2 linked regions of the Rattus norvegicus genome follow. The protein of the gene in region 1 interacts with the protein of each later gene in a pairwise test. Links are inferred from orthologs where the notes say so. Each region holds a gene or a part of one and is shown in the gene's direction. Other genes may lie near its edges. The genes, in order: Smurf2 and Spart.

Region 1 (4,383 bases):
TCTAAACGGCATTAATGTTATAACAGCCTTAAGCAAAGTCAACGTGGATACAAATCCACACTTTATCCTTAGTTTTCATTACTACTTATGTGCACATAGAACTTGTATTCTCCATTTAAACCCTGCATTACATATAAAATCTTCCATGTAACGTGGTCACCACAATTGCCATTTAGATAGCTGCATAAAAATGTCTTGCTGCTGATGTAATACAATTCATTATTGGGCTATACTCTCATCCCAGCCTTGTAAAACAAAACCCCCAAACACCTGTATTATTTATTTGTCCAGAATAAGTTCCTATTACTGTAAGTTACCGCATCAGAGTTACAGTCCTGTTCATTTTGTCTTTTTTTTTTTTTCCTCCTGGGATAGCAAGATACAGTACTGCCTGAGCTTTAAACACAGTATCCACCTATCTATCTTGTTCACAGTCCTTGGCGGTATTTGTATCATCTCCCTATGCCTGTCCTGCTAGGGAAAAAAAAAAAAGAGTCCGAGCAGGTAAGTAACCGGATCTGGAGTACCAGGTGAGTCCGTGGAGGTGGCAATTACAATACTAAGAGCTAAGCACTCCTGGGAATTTGCTGGAACGTTCGATGTGGGAATAGCGTCTTGTCGAATTAATTCTTCGGACTCGGGTCTAACTTTACTTTACTCTCGCCAGCCTCTTAGGGCGCGCAGTGGGAGTATTACTCGGGCATTCTGCCCTGTAGGGACACAGGCTGTCTTTCAGTGAGCTAGCTGGTCAGCAGGCCCCTCTGGTGCCACGGAGCCGGCGCCGCCGGGCGGTGGAGTTCAGAGATGGGTCTGGGCCGGGACACACGCGCTCCCTGCGTCCCGCGCGGAGTCCGGCCTTCCTCCGGCGCCCTAGGCGCAGGAGACCTCGCCCACAACCCCGCCCCCGAGACGGCCCTGCCCACCACAAACCCCGCCCTGCAACAGGCCCCGCCCCCGTCTCCTCCCCGCCCCCAGGAGCCGACGAGTGGCGGCGGCGGCGGCGGCGGCGGCGGCGGCAGCGGCCCCAGGACCGGGTTCCCTCAGACAAGAGGGCGGGCGGAGGAGGAAGCGGCCGAGCACCCGCCCGCCTCAGCAGACTTCGCACCATCGGCTCCCAGGCCTCGCGGCACCGAGAAGGGGAGACCGAGGCGGGCCGCGAGGACAGGAGGCGGCGGGGGCGCGAGGCGGAGGCGGCGCGGCCGGCCGCGGCTGCCGCTTTGTTGTGCGGCCCGGGCCGAGGAAGCAGAAGTGGGAGGAGGGGGGAGCTCTGCGTCCCGCTCCCTCCGCGGCTCATGGCGACGGCGCTCGGCACATCCGGGACCCTCCGGCCCTGGCGGCCGCGGCGCGGGCTGTTCGGACCCCGGCCCCGGCCGCTGTGGTGACTCCTCCGCGCCTCGCCGTCGTCCCAGCCCAGCCCAGCCCGCCCGCCCGCGGGCCGCGAGCGCCGCCGCCGCCGCCGCCTCCCCCGCCGCTGGGGACATGTCTAACCCCGGAGGCCGGAGGAACGGGCCCGTCAAGCTGCGCCTGACAGGTGAGCAGGGCGGGCGGCTGCGGCGCCTGTGGGCAGGCGGAGGGCCGGGGTCGCGGTCGGTGGTGGCGTTGGACGGGAATCCGGGCGTGGGAAGGCCTAGTTCAGGGAGTCATTGGAGAACCACTTAGCTGGGGTTGGGAAATTCTTCAGAACGCCAAGTGTGTGGCCCGTGGGTCTCCCGTGGAGGGCGGATTTGAGGTCCGGACATCTAGTTTCTTGGGGTCACAGGAGCAGCCCCTGGGCTATTGCCCAGGTGGGGTCGTGAAGGGGATTACTGAATCCAGTTGCTGACTGCGCGCAGTAAACACTCCTTAAATATGGAGTTGAGTGCTTAACGGGAGAGTGCGTGTGTTCCCGGGTTGTTAACTTGGACACCTACCTATGCCCGGGTGTGAAACCTTTACTCTCTAGCTGCCAACCTCTGCGGCCAGTGCCACACACCTTAAAACGCACGTCTCTGGGAGGGACTGAGACTGTGGTTGGCTTTTCCGGCGTGTCTGCCTGATCCCACGACTCCCGGCTCATTGTACACTCTGTGTTTTGGAAGTTGTTTGATTGTAGGGTAGCGTGTTTGGGGTTGTTCCTTGTAGGCCGCAGAACTAGTGGCTCACGTCTGAACTCCAGACATGGTTTAGAATCGCTTGCTTGGAAATGTGTTTCTAAGTCTTGGACTCCTACATAAACTTTTAAGCGAACTTTTACTGGTTCTCTTCCACACTTCGCGCCCCTTTCTAAATGGAAAGGAATGCTCAGAGGGATTTGTTAAAGACTGTTTATGTTCCCAGGTGCAGCAAGTTGTTAACGTATTACAGGTATAATTTGCTTATGATGCCACTTCTGATATTCTTCCGTGGTCGCATCTCCCTCCTTTTAAGGAAAATTGCGTTTGGTTTAAAGAGTGTAAGTGAAACTATTGTCCCTCTGCTAGCTAGACGCATCGTTCACAGTAAGTAAATTGTCCGCATTTATATTCAGATGTGTGGTGAAAAAGACGTCATTTTGCAGTTAGTTGGTTCATATGTGTGTGCACCAGCGAAGGATAAGCTGTAATTATGCTTGCCCACACTAAACTTTGAAATTTATGTGGACGAATGTTGTAGTTGAATGCCTGTGTTAAATGCCAGTCCGTTGGCTGTACCTTTTAGGTAACTTGAAGTGAATTTGGTATTTGAGAATTTAGTTTGAATGTATGTTGGCTACAGCTTCAAATACTTTCCCTTTGAGGCTGAAGAGATGGCTCAGTGGTTAAGTGTATCCTGTTCTCTAAGGGGACCGGAGTTCTACTCCCAGCACCCCCCACCCAGGTCCTTGGCTCACTACCACCTGTAACTCTAGCTGCAGGGGATCTGATGCATCTGGCCTCCCACAAGCACCTGCACTTGTGTACACATACTGCCCCAATCTCCAGTAATGAAAAAATATATACATTGCACTGACCTGAAAGCGTTTCTTTCCCTAGGGAAATCACAAGGTATTATTAACACTAGGTTGGGGGGCGTGCTTTGATCTTCATCTTTACTGTTCTTTTGGGGGAGTCAGTGGAACACAATTATAAAGGATCTTTGGTGCTCTAGTTTATATATTGATATTCTTACTAGGCAGGTCTGTGCCAATTACAGAAAGAAATTGTGAGTGTAGGTGTGCAAAAGCCATCGGAAATGGGCTGTAATTTTCTTCTGGGATACATACATGGGAGAGAAAAAGAGAGGTTTGGGTTTTCTTTAGATAAAAATGAGTTCTGAGGTGGGCTGGAGAGATTGCATAATAGTTAAGAGTACTGCCTGTTCTTCCAAAGGTTTAATTCCCAGCACCCACATTCCAGGTCACAACTGTCTGTAACTCCAGTTCCAGGGGATCTGACACACTCATACCCAATGCATATAGAATTCAAATGAATTATTAAAAATGAGTTCTGAGGTTTTGTTACATTTATGTTCTCTCTCTCTCTCTCTCTCTCTCTCTCTCTCTCTGTGTGTGTGTGTGTGTGTGTGTGTGTGTGTGTGTCTGTGTCTCTGTCTGTGTGTGTCTGTCTCATGGCCATGGAGTACATGTGGTGGACAGGATAAGGTGGGATCACCCTTTTCACCTTGTGAGTCTTACCAGTCAGACTTAGGTCATCAGGCTTGAGAGAAAATACCTTAACCCTCAGTGTTCTGAGGGGTAGTGTGACTGAGCAGCTCTTATATTTATGTCATTTTTTTTCTGTATATGATAGTTTAAAAAGATTTATGAGTGGCATTTGTTAGGTGAACATGATAACCACTGCACTAAAGAAACTTCCCTTGAGTGAAGTTTGAGAGGAAAAAGATCACACTTAGTTTCTGAGCAAGAGGATACATTCGACTAAATTTATAGAGTGATTTTGTACACTTAGCTTTTTCTGAAGAATTTTAAATATCTGTCCTCTCCTCTTAATTGTAAAAACAGTTTGAACTACTCTCAATTTTTTAAAGCTATTGGGAATTTTCCTGTGAATAGTTTTCGCAAAGTCTGACAAATATTAAAACCATTGTTGTCTCTTTGATTACATATGGTGGAATCTCCTGTTTTGCAAGGAACATTAACTCACATTTTTTCATTTTTGTTCATCATTTACGAATTAAATAGTATAAATTTTAACAAATAGATCTTAAGAGCTGGATTCAATTAGCAGCTTTTTAGGACACAAACATAAAAGGGTTAGATGGAAAAGATTGTTTTGACTGACTGGATAAATGACAGGGCTGTGTTTGATGTGCGTCCAGGACTTGGTCTGGAGCTGGTGCCCAACTTCTCAGTCCATCTTGAGAAGCCAAATAAAATATTTAACCTAGGACTCTTTTTGTTTAAAAAAAAAAGTTGATTCTTTGTTA
Region 2 (3,812 bases), on another chromosome or scaffold:
CACCGTGCAGAAAAGCAGTTATGGGTGGCCATTTGAGAACGTTGTTCAGTGCAGATGCTGAAATCAAGGGACTGGTTTCTCTGAGTCTTTTCTCTATGACTGTATTAGTTGATGGCGTCTGCACAGTAGCGAATTGTGTTGGCAAAGAACTCGCTCCACATGTCAAGAAGCATGGAAGCAAACTCGTTCCAGAATCTCTGAAGAGAGACAAAGATGGGAAGTCTACCCTGGATGGCGCCATGGTTGTGGCAGCAAGTAGTGTTCAAGGTAACGGGGGTCTGGGTTTGTCTTGTTTATGTTTGCTGTGTTCTGGGTGGGCCCTGGGCTACCTGAGCAGCTCAGCAGACTGTTGTTCACGTGAGACTGACGGACCTGTGTTTACAGGATTCTCAACTGTCTGGCAGGGACTGGAATGTGCAGCTAAATGCATCGTTAACAACGTGTCTGCAGAAACTGTACAGACTGTCAGATACAAGTAAGTACAGTGTCATTGGAGAGTGAATCTCCAGTGTCATCAGCTCAATCTGCATGGCTGAGGCTTATGTGCTTTCTTTTAGTTGTTTCTGATAAACTTATTTTTCCCCATTCACTATTTTCTAAATAGGGAACAGTTTTAGTATACTGATGAAACTCTTGTGGCTTTGATTTGTGCTACTAATTGTTATAAATGTTCATTAATACAAAGAATATGTATAATTTTTAACTATATAATTTTGATAGTAGTATTTCTTGAAGGAGAAAACAGACTTGATTGAATTGGAGGCCCCTTTTAACATTAGTGCATTCATGTGCTAAGTTATGATTCCCATTGCACATTTATATTGGGCTAAAGAGACAGTTACCTTCTGTTTGATACATTAGGTAGACAGGACAGAAGTGAGCTGATAGTTGGTGTATGATTTCTTTCTACGTTGGCTCTGAGGTCTTTGGAGAGAGGTAACTTCAGTGTGCCTTGCTGGTTGCTGCCAGACCTCATCCCCTTGGCAGGTGACCTAGGCTATGTCCGTCTCATAGCTATGTGTCCCAGGAGGCTCCCCAGATCTGTGTCGAGCTTCTTGATTGGAAGGCGAGATTGCTTGTGTGCTGCTGAGACACTTTAGAGCCAGCACGATGACTCACAGGAAGTTGAAGGCATTTCACTGCAGGCCCATAGAGAAGAGGAGACCCCATAGTCAGTGGGGCCTCAGGTGGCACAGGGGGACAGACATTCCATAGAGGAGAGCAAAGAGGGCCTGCGACTTTATTAAGGTCCATGGCATTTGGGCTTTAGTGTGTGTGTGTGAGGGGTGGGGAGGTAGGCCAGCTGCCTTAGAGAAACCATGGAAGGGGAAGTCACTCAGGACTCTGGAGTTAGCCATTTGTTTTGTTAGTGGTCAGCAGTTGTGAATGGGAGCTGTGGAATCAAGTCAGCGAGAGGAACAAGTCTGCTGAGTCACCAACAAACTACATACAGAGTAAAGTTTGAACTAGGCCGAAGTGGCACCATACTTCTGGTTCCACTTACTTTTGAGAACCAAATACTTGGGCAATGTTATTAAAGAACAAATTTAAAATGCCATTTTGGGTGTGTCTTCTTTGTTTGAACTTACGGTTTTTAAACAGTGTATATGTACAAAATAGTGTTTTGTTTTTATAACATTTCATATGTGCATGGATTATACTTTTGGTCATGTTCTCCTTCTTTCTTCTGTCTGAATTACAGAAATCTGGACCTTAAAAAACTAGATCTAGTGGGACCCAAGCTGTTTTCTTCTTAGTTTGACTCTTACGCTTTACTTAGGAAGAGGGACAGGCGGGCTGCAGTGAGGTCCAGTGGACACAGCTCTTGCCTAAGCCTGAGCACTTGAGTTCAGACCCCCAGCTAACAAAGGTCACACAACACGTGAGCAAGGGAGGCAGATGGAGTCCAGGGCAGTCATACAGCAAAATGGAACTGGAGATCGCTGGGTTCAGTGAGAGGCTCAGCTTAGTTAACAAAGGGGAACGCAATCAAGGACTACATTGGTTTTAGGCCTTCACACACGTGTGAATGCAAACATGCACAGAATATGCACATGTAGAAAGTGGATTAATATTTGAGTTTTTATTTCATATTAGTACTGTGCTCAGGGTTTCTCATGTATTATATAAATTTAACATTTCTATAGTTTTATACACAAGGAAACAAAAACATTAAAAGTTAAAAACTTGTTAGAGCTTACATCCCTAGTTGAGTGGCAGAGCTGTGATGTAAACCAGGTCCCATGTCCCACAGTCAGGGCAGGGTGCTGTGCCTTCTCTGTCCTTGAAGAGCTCTCTGCACAACTTCAGTGCTCTGGGTTGACCTCTGCCACCATTTAGACTGCTTTTGGCTTAGGTAGTACTACATTTGATTTCCGTCCTAAATTGCTTTGTTCTCTCAGTGTGGGTGTGCCTTCAAATCAAAGGGACACAACAGATCAACCTGGCTGCCAGTTTTAACCAGAGAGCTGAAAGCAAATACAGAGAAAATTATGATTACCGTTCTTACTACAGAAAGTGAAGGTGTTTGTTTTATTTTCTCTGAATATGTGTAGATTGTTATGGAGGAGCCTGGTGTGATGAACCAGGTATTTTCACAAGGTTCTGAGTGAACTCACTCCTGTGTGCTGTCTATTAGTGTTACTTTATTCTGTTCTCCAGAGTTACACAGTGTGAATAAATAAGGCAGAGTTGCCCAGCAGTGGACTTGTGAGTACAAGAGTGATTGTTCTTTTTTTTTTTAATATTTATTTATTATACATAAGTACACTGTAGCTGTCTTCAGACACACCAGAAGAGGATCAGATTCCATAACAGATGGTTGTGAGCTACCATGTGGTTGCTGGGATTTGAACTCTGGACCTCTGGAAGAGCAGTCGGTGCTCTTAACCACTGAGCCATCTCTCCAGCCCAAGAGTGATTGTTCTTAAAGTGATTTAATTTATGCCAATAGAATCTTGGGGGATTAAAGATTGGGCCCCACTATTCCAGATTTTCACCTGCAGAGGTAATCTGGCCCAGGAGTAGAAAGGGACAGACCTGTTGAGCCAATAAGAGTTCAGTGATAGGATGGGAGAGTGGAGAGCCATTCCTAAATTCCTTCCTTTACTTTGGTTCTTATTACTTAAATGTACACACTCTCTCTATCCTTAATCTTTGACACTGCAGGAAGTAGAATGCACGCTTGCGTTCTGCTCATGTCAGTGTACTGAAGCCGTGTCCTGACTGCACTGCTCTCCCACAGAGTTTAAAATCTGCTGACATCACATGCATTATGCCTGAGAGAAAACTAATGCCTTAGAAAAGCTTCCGTACCCGTGTCTGCGGGCGTTGTATGAGGGAGCAGGAACACGGAAACTTTTCAGGTGAATATATAGAGAACTTTTTGTCAGTTACATTAACATTTCACATTTTTAGATTGAGGCAGGTGAAGAGCTACAGGAATAATGGAAAACAGTAAACAACTTAACCCCCCCACCCCCCAGCTCAGCTGCAGCAGCGCCTGCTGACTAACCCTCACTCCTCTTAGCTCCATTCTGCATCGTCAGTGTTGATGTCATTGCAGCAGCTTAGGTCTGTCTGTAGAATCTATCTCTGAATATCTGTTTGTTGAAAATAAGTTAATAGTGTTTCCCTGGAAGAAATTTTCTCTCCGATGGTACTAGATTGTATTGGTTTGTTTAGAGTTTAATTAAATTAAAACTTAATTTAAATACCTCATAAGTTTCCAGAGCTTATGAATTAACTCCAGTGACAGTTGTCATGGTCTCTGAAACCAGGTCTGCATGACATCCATGACATCCATGATCTCT

Evidence for each region.
Region 2: the proteins of Smurf2 (region 1) and Spart interact in a two-hybrid assay, tested with the Homo sapiens proteins (2 studies listed by BioGRID and IntAct). The link is inferred for Rattus norvegicus from reciprocal best matches to the Homo sapiens genes SMURF2 and SPART.

What each region holds. Positions count from the first base shown.
Region 1 is NC_086028.1:92,358,775-92,363,157, reverse strand, and holds the start of Smurf2 (E3 ubiquitin-protein ligase SMURF2), read left to right. Parts: upstream 1-1,377; 5' UTR 1,378-1,479; coding exon 1,480-1,531; intron 1,532-4,383. UniProt on the Homo sapiens protein: E3 ubiquitin-protein ligase which accepts ubiquitin from an E2 ubiquitin-conjugating enzyme in the form of a thioester and then directly transfers the ubiquitin to targeted substrates.
Region 2 is NC_086020.1:141,459,703-141,463,514, forward strand, and holds part of Spart (spartin), read left to right. Parts: intron 1-108; coding exon 109-267; intron 268-384; coding exon 385-475; intron 476-3,812. UniProt on the Homo sapiens protein: Lipophagy receptor that plays an important role in lipid droplet (LD) turnover in motor neurons.